Oryzias latipes: one gene and its partners. The main gene of each other region encodes a partner of the protein of the gene in region 5 in a complex. Links are inferred from orthologs where the notes say so. Each region holds a gene or a part of one and is shown on either strand. Other genes may lie near its edges. The genes, in order: dcp1a, map3k5, arhgef6, pak1 and dab2ip.

Region 1 (4,297 bases), on a different chromosome or scaffold from region 5:
ATGATCAAGTGTTTCTATATTTATGTCACAGAAAGAACAGTTATTTTCTGGAAAACCAAAATGTATACGTAGTAGTTCTTTGCACGGATAGACTGCATTCTTACATCAAAATCACATTTTAGGAGGAATTCAATGCCCCCCAGATGGGAGAAAAAGTTTGAAGGAATATGAAACAAAATATTTATTTCATTTTGCAGAAAAGCCCTAAGCCAATTTATTTTAATCATACTATTCAAACTTTCAAAGTCTATGGCTTTAAATCCACCTTCACTGTAATCCTGAATTATTATTCATTTTTTATGTAATGAGTTTTGTTTTTCCAGATGAAGTTAAAATTGCCCTGGTTTCTTGTTTTCCTTGCAGATTTAGGAATTGGGAGTGAATATGCTGGATAAATGAATCTGGATAAACAATCTAATTTAGTGAGAAACATTCTGCCCAGAATAGAAATGTCACGCTGTGACCACATGTTTAAATTTACTTACAATTCACACTTGCTGAGATTTAGTTTTAAACCAGTTGCTTTAGAATAGGAATCTGCGGTTTGAAAGATCTCCGGTATTTGATGACTCTCCTTCATGAATACGGCCGTGTCGTCTGCCAGCTTAGTAATGGCTAACTGTTCTCCCAGGACATTGAGTTTACAGAAACCAGAGTTTGTTATAAGTATTGATAACATTTCTGTTGCTGTTATAAAAAGCAACGGTGAAAATTGGACAGCCTTGTTTAATTCTTTTGTTAATTAAAAATCTGGGAGAAATGCCATTCGGTGAAATAACTACACTGTTCGTATCGTTATAGATTGTTTTAACAAAACTTATGAAATTAGGTCCAAATCAAAATAATTCTAACTAAAACGTTTATCCAGAACAGATTTAAATTAAACATTGAGACACTTTGTAGCTTTGGTTGTGATTCCCCTGAAACAGTTATCCATCTTTTTTGGTATTGTCCCAAAGTTAAGGTGTTTTGGCAGAAGATGTGTGATTTTATTAATGATAAAATTGATTCTTGTTTTGTCTTGTTTTGGAAAGATGTCTTGTTGGGTCTAATATAAAAAAATATGCAAAAGGACTCTTGTTTACTTCTAAATCTTTTACTCATTTTGGCAAAATTCCATGTTCATAAATGTACATTTTCAGGTAGAAAACCCTGTTTCACTGTATTCTTTTCTAAATTAAATCAGTATATCAACAGTATTCGAAATTCAGAGAAGCAAAAAGCAATCAGAACATTGTCTGTATGTGATAGATTCAGTATTTTTTCGTAGAGTTTAACCCCCTGGCTTATAACTATTTCTAGTCTTGTTCTTCTGTTTGTTACAGAAGTGTATTTGATATTTGCAGTTGTGGTTTTTTTTTCATACCTAAAAGTACATTTTTGTAAAATGGCATAATGTGCAATAAAGTTGAGCTTTAAAAAAAAATAGTGGAAGTGGGGAACTATTTTTGAGCGCCGCCACTTCCGGGGACAAGCGAAGTTGAAAGTGTTTCAAAAAAATTCGTCCGTGTAGGTACAACAGACCGATCCAAGATGGAAACTGTAAGTGCGGGACATATGATGAGCTTAGCAGCTCTTCAAAGACAAGACCCCTATATAAACAAATTACTAGATGTAACTGGTCAAGTTGCACTTTACAACTTTAATTCTAAAGTAAACGAGTGGGTAAGTTCATTAGTTACTTTATGATTTTCTGTGATTCGAATGAGGCTTTATCATCATGTTTACTTAGCTCATGGTGCTAGCCCTCGTTAATCAAAACGCGACAGTAGCACTATGTTCACTAAAGCTTTACCGTACGTGGACCTTTATGCTTCGTTATTTTAGCTAATGCTATTTCTAGTCCTTTCAATTTTTGTATTTTTAAATGTATTTCCTTTAGTTAAACTATTGTTCACAGATTCGGCAGCACCTTTTCAGAACATGTTTTGACTTGTAATGTTATTTTAAACATTTTAGGAGAAGACCGACATCGAAGGCACTCTGTTTGTTTATGCCAGGTAAGATTAGCACTTGAACTCGTAATTTGATTGTTTACTTCATCATTGGGTGCTCTGCGCATGTGCACAGGCCACCGTAGGCGTATTTGTAAACAAATCGAGAAAACTTGCCCCAGCCTAGATTTTTATGTTTACAGTACAAAAAATGAATTTTGCTCATCAAACAATTTGCCAAGAAAACTGTACATTTATGATTTAATATAACTGACTTTTTTTTGCCTCAGAAATTTTTAAATCAAGTCATGTGCATTTATTTTCTGTCTTTTTTAGAAAATCATTAGGAAAATTAACAATAAAACTTGTTTTTAAAAATTGCCAGATTATATTTACCTTTAAACAAAGAATTGTAAAAACTAGAAATGTTTTTATCAATTTTGAAATATCCAACATTTCACTGTCATAAAAGTTTTTTTCAAGTGTTTTTTAATTGCTTTGTCAACAGTAAACAATGAAGCATTATCAACAGAGTGATGTTTGTTCCTTTTAGGTCTGCTTCTCCTTATCATGGCTTCACCATCATGAACAGATTAAGTACAGTCAACCTTGTGGAGCCTATTAACAAAGACCTGGAATTCCAACTGCAGGATCCTTTCTTGCTCTACAAGAATGGCAACTGTAAGTGGTTTGAATAAAAATCCTCATCAAAGTATGGAAGAGTTGTAATCATTAATTTAATTCAAAAGTGCTTTATAATGATGTTCTATTTAAGTAGATTTCAAGGAATAGTGATCTTTTGAAGCTACAAGGTATTCATTAAAACCAGGATGAGGCTGCCCACATGATTATAGAGTGAAACGTCTTGAGTTGAGATGAAGACATGCTGATTTAATGCTTAGATCACATTTTTTGTTGAAAATAGGAAGTCGTAAAAATTTCTGACCACATTGTCGATACAAAATTAGAATAAAGCACAATTCACTGAGTAATCCAGGACATTTTTGCCAAAGTAAAATGGAAATTTTCAAGTTAACTCTTGTTTTTTAAATACGCCGTTTTATTTGCAGCTTTTTTGTCCATTTCCTTTATTCTTTGTGAACCCACCTTAATGTATAAGTCATTGTAGTGCACCGCGGATTCACAAACTGTCAAAAGTGGCTGTCATACCTAGTTTGTGAACAATCTATTGTTCACAAATGCTCAAATAATTCTGACAGTACCTCTGAACATTCTGGATAAACACCTCCCCAGTGTTCGGTGGAACATCTCTTCTCCTTTTTGCTTGAACTCATGGTGACTTCTTGAAGCATTAAGCAGGAACACTTTGTCATTCATGGCCTACAGCGGCCTCGTAAACAAGCGCTTCCAGCTGGTTTTGCAACAGTTATCCTTCGCATTTGGGTCAAAAAGCAAAAAGAGTTCAAAGTTTCATTCATCAAACTTCTTCTGCTATAATTGTTTTAGTTTGCTGATTGTTCAATCCTGTAATTTCCTCCTGGAAAAATGGGTCAAATAGAAAAAAATTGCGCCATACTAGATCTTCAAAAAGTAGCTGACAGCACTTCCACCAAGATAATCAATGAGGAGTCTGAGCAGAAGTTTCATCAAAGCGATGAACAAAGAATTCGACTGCTTTCCCATTTGTTTGCTGATGAGAAAAGTTAGCATAGCCAAGGTTAAAGTCAAAGTGGATTGTTCTCCTTTGGGCTTTGGTTTTCCCAGCAGCCTGGCAGGTATGGAAGCCATGATGCAGTGTTTTGTTGGTGATCCAATATAGTCTGCTTCTCCAGTAGCTTCACTCAAGTCTTCGGGGCTTTTGTCATCGCTTACTTCCTTTCTGTCAGCTTTAGTTTCAAAAAGATAAAATGAAGAGCAGTTTTCTCAGGAAACATTAGCTGATAATGCTCCTTGAGTTGAGGTGAAGATACATCCGTCTTGGCAACTAAGCTTTTCTCTGCAAACGTTAGTCGAAGTGGTTTTTTTTTGTTTGTTTGTTTTTCCGTCGGTTGGTTTTCAGTCCCGTCTCACTCTGTTAGTTTATCCACTTGTTTGGAGAGAAAAATGTTTCTGCGCTTTTTCTCCTTTAGTGTAGGTTTGGCTTTGAAGGTGGAGATTCCAATTCTGATCTTGAAAGTCCTGCAAAAGAACAACCCACCCTCTGAAGGAGAAATGTCACCATCAAAAACGATCAGGATCCAAATATAATTCTCCAAATAAAGGGTTTAAATGTTTACGTTTCGCTCCTGTGAGTGGTGCAGAGCTCACTGCAAATGTGCTTGGATGTGGAGAATAGTGTTGCAGAGAAACACTTGGACACACCTGTTTACACCTCATCCTTTTCCCTTTGGACGCTGATGGTG
Region 2 (3,962 bases), on a different chromosome or scaffold from region 5:
GTGGCTGGATGGATGGATGGATGGATGGATGGATGGATGGGTGGGTGGACAGGTGGATGGATGGATGGGTGGCTGGATGGATGGGTGGATGGATGGATGGGTGGGTGGACAGGTGGATGGATGGATGGGTGGGTGGACAGGTGGATGGATGGGTGGATGGATGGATGGATGGATGGATGGGTGGATGGATGGATGGGTGGCTGGATGGATGGATGGATGGGTGGACAGGTGGATGGATGGATGGATGGATGGGTGGATGGATGGGTGGATGGATGGGTGGGTGGGTGGATGGATGGGTGGATGGATGGATGGGTGGCTGGATGGATGGATGGATGGGTGGACAGGTGGATGGATGGATGGGTGGCTGGATGGATGGATGGGTGGATGGATGGATGGGTGGGTGGACAGGTGGATGGATGGATGGATGGATGGATGGATGGGTGGATGGATGGATGGGTGGGTGGACAGGTGGATGGATGGATGGATGGGTGGATGGATGGATGGATGGATGGGTGGATGGATGGATGGGTGGGTGGACAGGTGGATGGGTGGATGGATGGATGGATGGATGGATGGGTGGATGGATGGATGGATGGGTGGATGGATGGATGGATGGATGGGTGGACAGGTGGATGGATGGGTGGGTAGGTCTGTGGATGGATGGGTGGAATCCTCTTTTTTCTTTAATCTTCTAAAAGTTAAAGTGTCCTTAAGTGCTGAGAAACACTTTATTTATTGTTATTCCCTAAATGATTTGTCTGAAAGTTCAGTTTCTTTAAAGTTGGTTGGAGATGATTCTGCGCCTGCGCTCTCTGTCTGGGCACACGTGTAACAGCGGCATGTGTCCACGGGGAGGCGTAGTGACGCAAGAGACAAGTGGGGGCAGCAGGCGTGACTGAAGTGAAGTCTTGTTTGTTTTTGTGAATTCCTGAACCTGCTGGACCGGTCGGTTTCGTTAAACACGAACCTCCTGTCGAACCTGACGCCATCAAAGAGCGACGTGACCGCGGAGATCAAACAGCCACCGCTCTGTCACGTCTGACAGGTGATTGAATCTGAAGCGAGGAATTGGATTAAGTTTTGATGTGCGTCCATCAAACGTGACGTCCCCGCCCCGCGCAAACAAACAGAAGCGGTGTGGAGGGAGGTGCACGCGCATGGCAGTCGCGTCACTGCGGCTGCGCGCCTCACTTTTCCTTTTGACAGCTGACGGCGCCGCCGCGGGGCTTATCAGAGTTTGGCTCGCGCGCGCGGCTGCACTACTGTTGCACAACTTAGCAGAAGTGCTGCCCCCTCAAACGGCATGCGCGACTTCCGCGGCTCCTCCTCAAGCCGAACCCACCGGACTCCGCTGTGACTCGGCTGCAGGCGCGCGTGTTTCTGGCGATGCGAAGCCGCGCCTCTGCTTTCCGCCTGCAGACGGGCCGCCGCGCGAGCAGCCGCCGCGCGTAACGCCGGCGCTCCATGGAGGAGTCGCGGCGATCCGAGCTTTAAGAGCGCGAGACTGACACTGAAATGGAGCAGGACGGGATTTCCTTACCGGTGCCCTGCGTGGGCGCCGTCAGCGGGGAGGCGTCCGGCGGGATCCCCGCCGCCGGGACTTTCTGGCAGGACTCGCTGGTCCCGGGCGGCGAGCACAGCCCGACCCCCCGGGACTGCGCGGACGGCGGGGGCTTACTGTCCACCGGCAAGGCGGGCAAAAGCAGGCCGGTGACGGTGGCGTACGTGGTGAACGGGGAGGCGAGCCAGCAGAGCAACGCGGAGAACATGGCACTGCAGTGCCTGAAGGACGCCTGCGAGACGGCGGGCAGCAAACTGGACACCGTCAACTTCGGGAAGCTGGACTTTGGGGAGACCGCGGTGCTGGACCGGTTCTATAACGCAGGTGAGAGCATCCGCCAGTCCTGCTGGAGAAGTCTCACTGCCTCCCACACAAACAAACAAACATCAGCTGCCACTATGCAGGTGGGGGGGTCGCTTTCAGAACTCCTCTCTTTCTGCTGAGTCATGGTTTGGGCCATGAGGTTGAACTTTCCACTAACATTTTCTGTGACTCTCCGCCTGTGTCCACGCCGCCCTTCTAGTTCAGGAGGAGAAAGGAGCCCGTGTTTACATCCTTTTAAAGAACCGAGATGACGTCATTAAAAGTGAAGACTTCATGAACTCCATCCAGACTAGACAGAGGAAGAAATCAGTCAAATTAATCGATAAGTTTAATATTTTAAAGATGATTTTGAAGCAATTTTTTTAGAGAAAAAATTATGAAAGTGACTTTTTAGGAGATTAAAATTGTAAAAATAAATAAAACAACATTTAGATTTAATTAAAACTTTGATTTCACATTTTTAGTTGAAGGTAAATATTATTTTAGTGTAACTTTTTTATTAGTTAAAAAATTCTGCCTTTTTTCTATTTAAAAGTCAACTTTCTATTCATTGAAACCATTTAAAGTCCCTCTCTGATCATCTTTTGATCTAATGTCCAAGCATTTTAATCATGATGATGCAGTTTTTAGCCAAAATCCTAAAACCTGTGTCATTTCCTCGGACTGTTTGAGGCGTGTCATAGAAAATTCACCTCTGCATTGAGGGCGGGACTTTTGGGGCAGAGCCACCCCAGAACCTCTTACCCTTCCCGTTGCTGAGAGCTCTCTGTTTACATGCTCTCCCGCTATCCTACAGTCCCTCACCCCCCCAACATAACATTATCAGTGCAACAGGAAAGGTGAGCAATACTGGGACTACTGGAAAAACAACAACAACCAATTATGGCAACAACAGCAAATAGCAGATATTCATTCTATTATTGTTATGTATTTCGGCAATATGATTTGTCTCCAAGATGAAATGTCTTTTCTTGTTTTCCTGTTTTGTTGAATAACTTTCTCCCAAAAGTGCGACTTATATGTTTTTTTTCTTTATTCTGCAAACGCCACAATCCCCCCTTTTCATCGTAGTGGGTCTTAAAAAGCGCCTGAGCTTCGTGACAGCGCGGCGTCTTTTACTGGAGTTTGATGTTTTCCCTCAAAGAGAGTAAAAGATCAAACTCTGAAAACATTATTGCTGTACTGTAGTGCCTCTACCCCCTGATGTTTCTGTCAGCTTCCAGCATCGTGCTGCAAACACGCCTCTCTTGGATGAAAACTAATGTGGGGAAATTTGGGTAAAATCGCTTGATAATCCCTAAACAATGACATTACAAGAAATGTTGGTACAAAAAAAGGCAAGAGGACTGGAACAGTTTTGCTTTATTTGTTGTGCAAACACAAGACGTTCCCTGGATTTGGTCTTTTTTTTCTCAGAAATACCTTTGGATGTTCTCACAGTACACCAGGGAGAACTATGGTATTTTCCCAGAATACCATGTTGACTTGGGGCGCTCATCCTCTTCTTATGCAAGAGCAGCAGCAGACGTGGGAATAAAAACAAGGCCTCGGGAGTTCAGAGGCTGGAGGGCTCCTCTTGCTAGATTCAACCGGTGGCGGCGGCGGCTCCTGCTCGCCGCTCTCTGGCCTCATCACATGACCCTGACGGCTGCAGATCCACAAACATTTGTGCTGCTAGTAGCTAGAAATATTAATTAAAAAAATATATATATCATCACCATCCGCACAAACACGTCTTTAGAGACAAACTGCTGTGATTATTAGCATCTTTATTTATACACAACGTGGTTAAATTGTTGTTGATCTTTGAAAAATATGCTGCTAATGTGTACATTAGCGTTCTTCCAGTTGCATTCCATGCTGCTACTTCGTCTTTCCTCTAACCCCTTAACCCCCAGTTCTATTAAAACGTCTACGTAAACGCACATATATGCGTGTTTCAGGCTTCCAGATCCAAAAGAGAAATGAAACACATTTAAATTGATGTGAAGCACCTGAAATGTGTCTATCTTCAGTTGGAATCTCTCCCTCTGGGGCGGCTGCGGTTCAGCCACCGCTGCTCTGGATGGATGGGGGC
Region 3 (3,514 bases), on a different chromosome or scaffold from region 5:
TAAGTTGCTCATGAAATCGTATCATTTCACATAACATGACAATTTTCCTCCAGCTTCCATTGAAAGCAGTGTCATGCACGCTTTTCCACAACTCACAGCTTCGACCAAACAGAATGCTGCAGCAACGCGGCGTGGCAGCACTGGGTAAATTACAAGTGACATGACAAGGACGCTACGACTGAAACGCGACGCGCTCGCTGTGAAAGAAAGCCTCGCTTTGCTTGTTAACATAACCACAACTTTATATATCCTGTCAACAGTCAACTTCCTGTGTGCATTCTGAAGAGTGTGCATGAGGACCCAGACAATTATTCTCTACATTGCTAAAAATCGTCATACCAGCTCCACTAATATTACTGATATGAATCTTTTTCCCCACAGTATTGACAGCTAAACTCACATCAACATTAAGAATAGTGAGAAGGGATTTGAAGGAAACTTTATTCACGTCCTGAACCTGCATAAACTAACTTTAGCGTGAAATATGTCAACAAAGCATCACTCTGACACCTTGTGAACTGAAGTGTTACTACAGGCTGGCAAGACGACAACAATTAGTTCTTACAAACCTCAAACATCAATAAGATTAAACACCTTTAACAAAAGGAATACTGGAATGTTATAAACTGCTTGAGTTTATTCTTTTAATTAGGTTTATTGGAACATTTTACACACTTTTGTTAATTGTTAATTGATCAAAAACCAGTCAATCTCATTTAAGACATGTGATTTAGTAATCAAAAATCTAGTACTACAGATGCAAATTTGAACGTCAGAAAACGTCTCTTCCAGGTGAAGTCACCTGACCTCATGGGGGGTCTTGTTCTTACCTGTGGTCTGTCAGGATGCAGACAGCTGAGGGATGGCTGGAGCAGTAGGTTAGGTAAAGGTTCTTGATTTGAGGCATGAGGTTCAAATAGCAGGCTGCCACCCTCTGCTGCCCCTCTGGGACTCTGCACATTGAGAGAAAAGGCGAGAAGGCAAGGTAGAGAAATATTAAAGGGTTGGGAAACAACATAAAACGACATTCTGTCATGCTATCAATTTACTTGTTTGAAATACTAGTACTTCTTTCCTGTCCTGAAAAGGGTCTGTCTGGATCAACAAAACACAATCCTGGGCTCTAAAATGTTACTTGGAAATGAGGGGGTGTAAGACCAAAAAGAAGCTGGCTGTTCACTGAGAGCCCTATCCAAAAACATTAATGGGAAGTTAAATGGAAGGACAACCTGACATAAATATGAAGCTCATTCAGTAGATCAGTGAGTTCCATGAGGACTGGACTGCTGTTAGATCTTTGAGAGCCACAACGGACACGTACATCACAACATGGACTTAAGCTGCTGCAGTCCTCACGTCAAACCACTCATGAACCACAGACCGAGGATTTATCCCTCAATTCAAGAGAAAAGGAAACAAAACCATTCCTTGGGATTCCAAAGCCATCATTTGGAAGAGCAGCAGAGGGGCACAGAATTTTCCTGAGGTTTAGTGTTTCCTCAGTCAGCCATGTTCGAATGATACTTGTCATCTACTGCTGCTGCTCCATTAACTGTACAGTGTGTTCCAAATTATTACTCAAATGGGATTTTTTTAGGATCTTTCTTAATTATCAATGCAAATGAGAATCAGCATAATTTTCAAGTCACTAACCATTAGAGTATATATTAAATGTTTTTGAACAAACCTAAAGATAACAGTATTTGTTTCTTTCAATGCACTGTTCCACATTATTACGCACAACAGTTCCATAACGTTTGATAGATTCAAAAGAATTGAAAATGGTAATTTGTTGAATTTTTTGCATTACGAAATCATATTTACTTAAACCAAAAGCTATTCCAATCAAAAACATCTTAATAGGTCAAGTTACATTTGAACATAGGACCCCTTATCTTGTAGCATCTTCCCAATTCTTGCATCCATTGAACTTGTGAGTTTTTGGAGAGTTTCTGCTTGAATTTCTTTGCAGGATGTCAGAATAGCCTCCCAGAGCTGCTGTCTGGATGTGAACTGCCTCCCACCCTCATAGATAGTTTGCTTGAGGATGCTCCATAGGTTCTCAATAGGGTTGGGGTCAGGGGAAGATGGGGGCCACACAACCAGTTCATCTCCTATTCTTTCAGTAGCAGCCAATGATGCTGATGTATTCATTGCAGCATGAGATGGTGCATTATCATGTGTGAAGATGATTTTGTTATGAAAAGCACTGTTCTTTTTTTTGTACCACAGAAGAAGGTGGTCAGTCAGAACCTCCACCTACTCTTCAGAGGTTATTTTCAAACCTTCAGGGACCCTAAAGGATCCGGCCAACTCTCTCCACATGATTCCAGCCCAAAACATGACTCTGCCACTTTATTGCTGACAATGCAGACTTGTTGGGACATTGTGGCCATATACTAACAACCCAATACTCCATCCATCTGGACCATTCAGGGTTGCATGGCACTCATCAGTGAACAAGACTGTTTGAAAATTGTTCTTCGTGTATGTCTTTAACCACTGCAGCCATTTCCGCTTGTTAGTGTTATTTATGGGGTGGCCAATCAGAAGGTTGACATCTAAATACAAGCCTCTGAAGGATCCTACACCCTGATGTTTGTGGGACTCCAGAGACACCAGCAGCTTCAAATATATCGCTGCTGTTTTGTAATGATATTTTAGAAGGTGCTCTCTTGATTGGATGCATTTGTGTGGCAGAAAGCGTCATCATCCTGCCTTTATCTCTACAAACCCCTCTGTGCTCCGAATCAGCCACAAATCTAATATTACGATGATCACGCTTCAGTCTTCATACCTCGTCTAAGGCACTTAACTATTTCAGGCTTTTCAGCAGCAGAGATCCTTTTTCTTTCCTATATTTATTGAAAATGTCAGTCTACTTAATAATGTGGAACATCCTTATTTAGTAGTTTTTCCTTTAATTGAACTCACCTTGCAAACTAATTATCACAGGTGTCTGGCATTGATGTCAGTGATCCAAAGAGCCCCAGGACATAATATAATCCATGAGTGTAATTAAAAAACAAAGAATGACATTTTTGACCCTTATATACAATCTGGACGCACTGTATTTTATCAGGCTCACAGTTAATGCAGTCACCTACAAGGAAGTTTAGGAGTACTTTATGGTTCTCCCTCCTGACCTGCTTTATGGAAATTATTGTTATTTTCCAGTCTTTGCACCTGCCCATTCTGCTAAAGCAATCAGCTCCTGAATTAAAAAAGCTTCACTGAATCATCAAATCTATGAATCCATTGTCTTTAAACAAAAAGAACTGCTTTCTGTTAGCATTAAATGCAAGAATTAATACTGTTAGTAATATTTTGAATGGAATTTTGAAAAAGAAATCAATATTGAATCAAAATCAATAAATAAATCTAACCAGGCATTTTTTTAATGAAATCATGTGATACCCAACCCTTTGCAGCAGTTCATGCAAATCTAGAATATTTGTTAATTTCATATGCTCTTTTCTACATGACTTACTTTGTACAATCGTCTAAAGCTGAG
Region 4 (3,993 bases), on a different chromosome or scaffold from region 5:
CTCCTCCTCTACCTCCTTATGCAGAACTTCAGCGCCACCCGAGATCAAACCAAAACTATCTGGCCTATCTTTTTGGTGCCGCGCTCCAAAGCGCTTCCTAACTTCTCCTTTTATCTGACGTCACATCAGTAAAGTGGATTACAAGCTTAAAAACGGAGTCGCGCCTTTCATCCCCATCCAGCCAGACAGCTTGTTTCAGAGAGCCGGAGTCGGGGTTGGTCTAGACGCCGTGCAGCTCAGCCGCCGCCGCAGCCTTGCAGGCAAACAGTCTATCCATTATTCAGCTGCTGGCAGCCTTTTCGGCCGCTCAACTGCCAGTCTCTCTATTCATGCCAGTGTGGTGTTTGAACGCCCACCCGGCAAAGACAAATATCTGCGATGGGGAAGATTTGATTTCACGGTTTCTGGTATTCAGAGGTCTTTAAAGCAGCCGGAGCAGCGTGGTGACTCCACAAACACCGACGACTCTGTGTTTGATTAGTCATCATCTGGCTGTAGCTCTTGGGGAATCATGAGACTGAAAACAGAGAAGCCTATGTGTCAGGAATCCAACCTCACTACCTGCACCTTAAAAGCTCCAAGCTGGAGCGACGTTTCGTTTAGCGTACTAACCCTCCAAACTAGCTTTAGTGTCCTTTTTCTTTTAAAGACCCACTACGATCAAAAATTGTGCTTTTAACATGTTCTTGAGGTACTTTTTTGGACAATAGAGCGTATTGATAAAGTACATTAGGCTTAAAAATTGCATTTCTGAGTATTTGTGATGTAGAAAAATCACGCTGGGGGCGCCACAAACTCCCTGCTTCAAGTCCTCAGCAACAGAGAGGGGGAGAGGGGGCGGGCTTGCCGCCTCCACTTGCTGACATTAGTGAATTTTTGTTTCGTAGAACAGGAGAACATTCCAAATAGTATTTACAGCGTCCGTTTCTTAATTTCTGAGACGAGAGTGGCTCATTGCACATTTCACTGTATTCCATAAAACAAATGTTTACGAGTAAGTAGGTAAAGTCCTTCTATCTTCTTTTCATTAGACAACTCCAAAAAAAAAAAAAAAGTCACATTGCATCTTTCACTCTTGCCGTATCCATGGCAACCCGTTTTGTTGGTCCACATCTCTACACGACTCAGATCCCAAACAAACTGCCCCGTGGTTAAAAATAACTTCCATAACAGGTGAGACGCAGCAGACGCGGAAAACACACGTGCGCGCGGCCGCGTCCACGTGAACTCCACCGTCCTGGCCTCCGTGGAGAGACGCCCGGCCGAAACCGCAGGGGCCAAATGGGTCATTAACCCCCGCCCGCCTTCGCCGCCCTCTGTCCTGCTGTCACAAGGTGTCAAAGTGACAAATGGAGGGGAGGGCATTCCCCATGCAAGCCAATGAGCCTCTCCTTTTGCCACACCCAGGTTTCCATGGTAACCGCTTCCATAAATGTCTATTTTAGTCTACAAAAAAATTAGGACATAAAAGTTGGAAGAGATTTGCATTTATGCACATGGCTGATGTTTAATATTATTACAAAAAACACTTTTTTTAATACAGTAAAGTGGTTTGTTGTGTAAAAAGTCATTATGTTTTCCCCATTTTCAGGAATACGATAAAAAAAAATAATTATGTAACTTAAGTTTTGGTGTCTTTTTTGTTTTGTTCCATGAAGTTACTATGAATCTTCACTAACATGGGATTTGGACCACTCAACCACAGCAAACACAAAAAGAGAAATAAACAGAGAGCTCTCAGTGATGGGAAGGGTGGGCGGGGTTTTAGGCGACACAAGTTTTGTTTTTTGTTGGGTTTTTTTGCTAAAAATATCACAATCATGAGGGTTTTTTTTAACTGTTGGGAATGCTTTGAAAATAGCTGAACAGATGATGGGAGGGGGGACTTGACTTGAATACGGCAAAGTAGAGCTGCACTCATATCCACATAGATTGCTTTGGCATAAGCTGTTGGTGGACGCAGCTGAAAACCTCAGGATGAAGAACAGTGCAGCGGTTTCTGCTGATCCACGTGGAAACTCCAGCTTCTGAGCGTTTCTAGCAGCTTGCAGGGCTCTAATCAGAAAAGTCACGTTTACAGAAATCAATGATTGTACTGCAGGTGATGGGAAAACAGCTATAAGGGGGTTTGATGCATCAACTTTGACCAAACATTTAGTAGATTTCTGTGCTGAGCAGCTAAAGTAAGATTAAAATGCAAATAAAGAAAAGAAAATTGAGACACTTTTTTTCTTAAATGCATGTATGAACTGGTAAACAGGTTCAATTCCCTGAGAGAAAAGTGGCAGATCTTCATTCATTCTGCCTGCTGTGCTGCTATCATTTCCCACGTCGTCCAGTCATTTGGGAAGCAGCTGGTTTAATAAAATAATAATCAACCCGCCAACGCCTATGGCTGGAAAATCCTGACTATAAAAGTCCACCAAGCAGCGCACGTTGATGGGGGTTATGTTGAGGGGGAAACAAAGATAACAGCGTCTTTCCAGCACATTTCCCACCAGCTCCCTCCTTCATCCACACACGCAGCGCACCACCATGCTGGCCGGCAACGCAGCCCATCAGCTGGGAAAACCTGCTGAAATAAAGTAGGGAAAAAAAGCTCCGCTCACCAAATGTCTGACAGCAAATTCAAATGTCGTTGCTGTCGGTTTGAGTGTTTTTCCTCCGCCGGCTCACAGCGTCTCATGTATTCCGAAAAGTCCTGCTCCTCCGGAGGCTCAGACCTGCTCCGCTCTGCCGCCCTCGCCTGATTTTTTTTTTAGCTATAAAACTTGCCGAGCCCAGGCTATTGTTAGCCAAGCGCAGAGAAGTCTGCTGCATACAAAGTCCCGCCTCCTCACCGGAGCGTTCGGCCACGCCATTGGTTGGTCGTCCACACTGCCTCATTTCTATTGGCTGACAAAGATGTCCGTCTAAACTCTCGGGGCGGGTCCCGACTCGCCGGCAAAACCGAACGACCTATGCTGCATTCACGTAACAAATAAAAAGTGCGCATTTGTAGACACTCACGTATGGGTTGTCCCTGCGTGTTGCCTTCATGTAACCATGTTATGGAAATATTAACTACAGAAAAAAAGGATATTTCAAACACACAGCGGTGACGTCGTTATTTAGATGAGCTTCACAGTGAGAGAGAACTCTCCTTTAAAATAATTTATTTTAGATTATTAAGTCAATAAGAAAGAAACAGATATAATTTTTAAAACTCAGATGACATAATTTTTTAATGAAATTGCTCGTCCGTAAGGTGAGGAGTGAACATTTCTCTCAAAAAAACATTAAAGAACAGAAAACAATCCTTTTTTCCTATAGAAAGTAACAAATGTGTACATTCAATAAATTGAGTTTATATTCCAAGTAAAAATAATGTATATAATGTATGTAAAATACATTTCATTAACATTTTAATGCAATTTCAGGTTTTGAATGCCTATCTAAACATTTGGATTCTTGACATTGATTCCGTCAAGTGGACCAATGAAACCTTGTTCAACGTTTTAACCAAGGTGAGGATTGCTAAGTTTGCCACTTTTGTAAATGTCTTCTGTTACAGATGTGTACTTTGTTGTACTCTTAGAAAGCCTTGAGCTTTTTATACAAGTACTACTTGTTGGTAATTGATCTTTGTATGTAATATCCCCTTTTGTGGAATCAATAAGGTTTTGTTCTATTCTTCTATAACATAAAGGGAGGTCATATTTTGTTGATTTCAATTGCATTTATTTTAAAATCTTCAATTAACTTCCACGTTTGACTCAAAGTGCTACACAAAAAAATAGAAAGAAAAAAATCAGACAGAGCTTTATTATAATGACTTTTAGGTTACATGTCATCCTATACATGTTTTTTTTTTTTCTGTGATGACTATGTCGTTTTTAACCAATTTAAAACCGCCAATTCAAACTTTGATTTTATCAACATTAAGTGTATTTGACAAGTGACTGTTTTGATGCAAAAATCCCAGTTTTTTAAAAAATAAATTAGTTTAGTTCC
Region 5 (3,514 bases):
CACGGTCTTTTAGAGGTTTGGGCAGCGGCGGCACAACTCTTTGTCTCACGGGCCTCAAAGAGTTCTAAAATTTGACAAAAGGGCTCGACCAAAAGCAGATCAGAGAAAGAAATGACATGGAATCTGAACGAAAATGTGCTTTTATTGTGATTGAAAATAAATGTATATATTTTAAAACAGCACATTTTAGGGGTTTTATTTCCAAACTGTGGCTTTTGTTCTTATTTTAGTGCCAATTACAGTTATAGGTTGATGTCCATCAGGGAAAAATGCAACGTTGGAGAAATGCTGCGTTCATGAAATAATTGAAAAAAATGAAGGTCCGACATGAACATTAAAAAAAAAACAGGAAATCTTTCAACACACTATAAATTTAGAAGAACTTTCTTACGGAAGAGGATTAGACCCATGGAGAAGAAAAAAAATTCTCTATGGCCCTAATCCATATAAAAATGCTGACTTTTTTCTCAGAATTCTGAGATTTAAGTCAGATTTTTCTATGCCCTGTTTTTTTTTCTTTCTCCATGGCCTTAATCCCCTTCCGCACTTTCTGCACCTAAGCAAAGGTCGGATTTATTGGTGGCGCACCGTCTATGGGGACACACCAGAAAATAAAACATTGATGAGTGTTATCAATATGATTTATTCCAGTTTGGAATAATAATCCAGATTAAATAGTTTTTGGGCCACAAACGGCCCCTGGGCCATGACGCTGTGTAAACATTGTATGCTAACACATTTTGGGTAGCGGCAACTAACAGCACTCAAAAAAAGAAAAAGAAAAAAGAAATAAAAAAAGAATAAAAACCAGTAGCCAGATTTGACCCTGTGGGTTTTTCAGGGTAAAAGTGAGATTTTAGCAGCTGCAGAATGATCCGTTTTAGCTGTGAACTCAATTCTTTAGCAACATTTTCTGCTTTTGTCTTTGCTGTCACTCTGTTTGTTTACCTTCTTCTGATAATGACACGATGAATAATCTACACAGCAGCTAAAATCTTCTTCAATTTAAGGCGGCTTTAGGTTTCCTCCTGCCATTCAACAGGAGTTTTGAAGAAATATGGTTCTAGAGAGGAAATTAGAACTTTCCGCACAGTTTGTCTTTTTTGTTTTTTAAAGAAAGGTTGTAACTGTTGACGTGTCAAAAAAGTAAAGACATTTTATCTGTTTTCCTCAGAGAAGCGGAACGTTTCTCAAGTTGAAGAAGATGCCTCAGGCTGTCGACTAAAAGGCAGCCTGCCTGTTAGAGGAGAGAAAAACCCTTGGCTCTTTGATACTCTATATGTTAAACAAATAAAAAAGAGATTCTGACCGCTTCAAAAACAAAGATGGTGTGATCATCTTAGACACTGTTTTAGTATTTCAAAGTGTTAAACACTAAAAAATATTGCTTTGGTTTATCTCTTCTGTATGACACAGAAATATGAAGCTGACTTTTCTCATTTTTAACCCACATAATAACCTTTTTTTGAAGTGTAACTTGATTATCAGATAATTAAAATAAGTTTAATGTGTAAAGATTTCACCCCAGCTCAACCTTGTTCAGAACTATAGTCTATTATTCAGTTTCTAAATAAAGATAGCTGCTTTAAAAAGCACTCAGTACTTTTTTTTTGTCTCTGCTGCAAGCTTGACTGCGCAGTTCTCGGTGCATGCAGACCTCAGCATTAATGTAACAAAACATTGTTTAAAGGTAAACAACTTAAATAATGACATTTCTGCTCTTTGGACAGACATTTCTCCTTTAGATTAGATCAGCCTGATTTCCTTCACGGGTCACAGAGGTCCACTTGTTGTCACTTCATGACTTTCATTCACCTTCATTGGTACTTCTCCGACAAATGAACAAAGCACTTTTGTTTTGCTTTTATTATTGTCTTTATTTTTATTTTCCTCAGGTGAGTTCATTAAAGCTCTGTACGAGTCGGATGAGAACTGTGAGGTGGATCCTTCCAAGTGTTCCTCCAGTGACCTGCCGGATCATCAGAGCAACCTGAAGATGTGCTGCGAGCTGGCCTTCTGCAAAATCATCAAGTCCTACTGGTGAATGCTGCCGCCTGTTCGTGACGTGCTGGTTCTGATCTGTCTGCTCAGGCACATTTTTACTCAGGACTCTGTGTGAATTCAGATAAAAACTCTTTTAAAAACACACTTAAACTCCATGACTGGCTCTTGTACGTCTAAAAAAAACAGGATTTCTGTTTACTTGCAAATGAACCCTGGTGTGAGTGCAGACAGTTGTCCAAACAAACGCCCGTATCCCACCCGCTTCACCCACTACACCCTTACTTTCCCTTGAGTGTTGTATAAGTGACAACCTGTCCCCTGGCTGCTTCCCCATTGGGAAAAAAAATTCAGTTACATTTTTGTTCTACTGGCGGTCCACGACCTGTGTGCCCCGTACAGTTTTACACAGTTTTCACCCACAAACAGTCCATAACATAACAAACAATTTGCCACTAGATACAACAACCATCCACACATCCCTGAATTTCTATTATACTTGTACGGCTGGTTATAACTTCGTTAAGGCCCAAAGCCCTGATTCATCCAGGCACACACACACACACATTCACACACTGATGGCAGGAGGATTTCCATGCAAGGTGCTAACCAAGAGCACCATGGGACACTATCACACAGCACGCCCGTAGGAATAATTGTGCATGAACATGTTTGCTCTACGGGCTCACCCGCAGGTTGACAACCTTGCAATTTTTTTGCCTTTACAGATTTATCCATTTTTGCCCACAGACAGCCCGTATCCACCTGTAAGGGCAGTTGTGACGAAAGCTTAAGCAGATGAAGCAGAAGTTCAATGTGTGATACTCTGGCTGTTATTGGCCACTTTTTTGGGCTTTTTTTTTTTCTTTTTGCTCCGATTGTTTATAGACAATCAATACTGCCCCCAAATGGCCACCTGTTATAAATTTGTCAACATTTATGTGGTTTGGTAGATTTACTGTGAAAGTATGAAAGTATTTTTGGATTTCTCACTCGATCACTGTAAATCAAGTCTACGGGATTGTCCTGATGTGAAAGCACCACTAAAGTGGTTCATATCAGAGGTTTTTCCTGTGTTTACGGTATAATTTTGTGTTTTACTTTTTTTCTTTTTCTGAGATTGACTGAAGTTTATGTAAGATAAATTGTTGCTAAAGTTAAAGACAGATTTCCCAACCATTTCAGACCAATAACAAATGACCAAAGAGATCAAATAAAGGCCTTACTTTTTTTTTTTTTTCCAGCTTTTTTCCCCGTGAATTAAAGGAGGTTTTTGCGTCATGGCGGCAGGAATGTAGCAGCCGCGGTCGGCCGGACATCAGCGAGCGTCTGATCAGCGCCTCCTTGTTCCTGCGCTTCCTCTGTCCGGCCATCATGTCGCCCTCGCTCTTTAACTTGACGCAGGAGTACCCTGACGACCGCACCGCTCGGACACTCACGCTCATCGCCAAAGTCACGCAGAACTTGGCCAACTTCACAAAGTGAGTTGGGTTTCATAGCGGTGAGTCTAAAA

Evidence for each region.
Region 1: dab2ip (region 5) and dcp1a share a complex: the UniProt entries of both Homo sapiens proteins name them as parts of the cytoplasmic complex. The link is inferred for Oryzias latipes from reciprocal best matches to the Homo sapiens genes DAB2IP and DCP1A.
Region 2: dab2ip (region 5) and map3k5 share a complex: the UniProt entries of both Homo sapiens proteins name them as parts of the cytoplasmic complex. The link is inferred for Oryzias latipes from reciprocal best matches to the Homo sapiens genes DAB2IP and MAP3K5.
Region 3: dab2ip (region 5) and arhgef6 share a complex: the UniProt entries of both Homo sapiens proteins name them as parts of the cytoplasmic complex. The link is inferred for Oryzias latipes from reciprocal best matches to the Homo sapiens genes DAB2IP and ARHGEF6.
Region 4: dab2ip (region 5) and pak1 share a complex: the UniProt entries of both Homo sapiens proteins name them as parts of the cytoplasmic complex. The link is inferred for Oryzias latipes from reciprocal best matches to the Homo sapiens genes DAB2IP and PAK1.

What each region holds. Positions count from the first base shown.
Region 1 is NC_019865.2:7,301,743-7,306,039, forward strand, and holds the start of dcp1a (mRNA-decapping enzyme 1A), read left to right. Parts: upstream 1-1,494; 5' UTR 1,495-1,533; coding exon 1,534-1,665; intron 1,666-1,959; coding exon 1,960-2,000; intron 2,001-2,487; coding exon 2,488-2,615; intron 2,616-4,297. UniProt on the Homo sapiens protein: Necessary for the degradation of mRNAs, both in normal mRNA turnover and in nonsense-mediated mRNA decay. Removes the 7-methyl guanine cap structure from mRNA molecules, yielding a 5'-phosphorylated mRNA fragment and 7m-GDP.
Region 2 is NC_019882.2:18,794,214-18,798,175, reverse strand, and holds the start of map3k5 (mitogen-activated protein kinase kinase kinase 5), read left to right. Parts: upstream 1-1,162; 5' UTR 1,163-1,515; coding exon 1,516-1,885; intron 1,886-3,229; exon of another isoform or gene 3,230-3,556; intron 3,557-3,879; exon of another isoform or gene 3,880-3,962. UniProt on the Homo sapiens protein: Serine/threonine kinase which acts as an essential component of the MAP kinase signal transduction pathway. Plays an important role in the cascades of cellular responses evoked by changes in the environment.
Region 3 is NC_019868.2:11,013,375-11,016,888, reverse strand, and holds part of arhgef6 (rho guanine nucleotide exchange factor 6), read right to left. Parts: coding exon 3,491-3,514; intron 954-3,490; coding exon 831-953; intron 1-830. UniProt on the Homo sapiens protein: Acts as a RAC1 guanine nucleotide exchange factor (GEF).
Region 4 is NC_019871.2:4,499,030-4,503,022, reverse strand, and holds the start of pak1 (serine/threonine-protein kinase PAK 1), read right to left. Parts: upstream 2,807-3,993; 5' UTR 2,610-2,806; intron 1-2,609. UniProt on the Homo sapiens protein: Protein kinase involved in intracellular signaling pathways downstream of integrins and receptor-type kinases that plays an important role in cytoskeleton dynamics, in cell adhesion, migration, proliferation, apoptosis, mitosis, and in vesicle-mediated transport processes.
Region 5 is NC_019870.2:6,391,302-6,394,815, reverse strand, and holds part of dab2ip (disabled homolog 2-interacting protein), read left to right. Parts: intron 1-1,895; coding exon 1,896-2,040; exon of another isoform or gene 2,041-2,111; intron 2,112-3,245; coding exon 3,246-3,482; intron 3,483-3,514. UniProt on the Homo sapiens protein: Functions as a scaffold protein implicated in the regulation of a large spectrum of both general and specialized signaling pathways.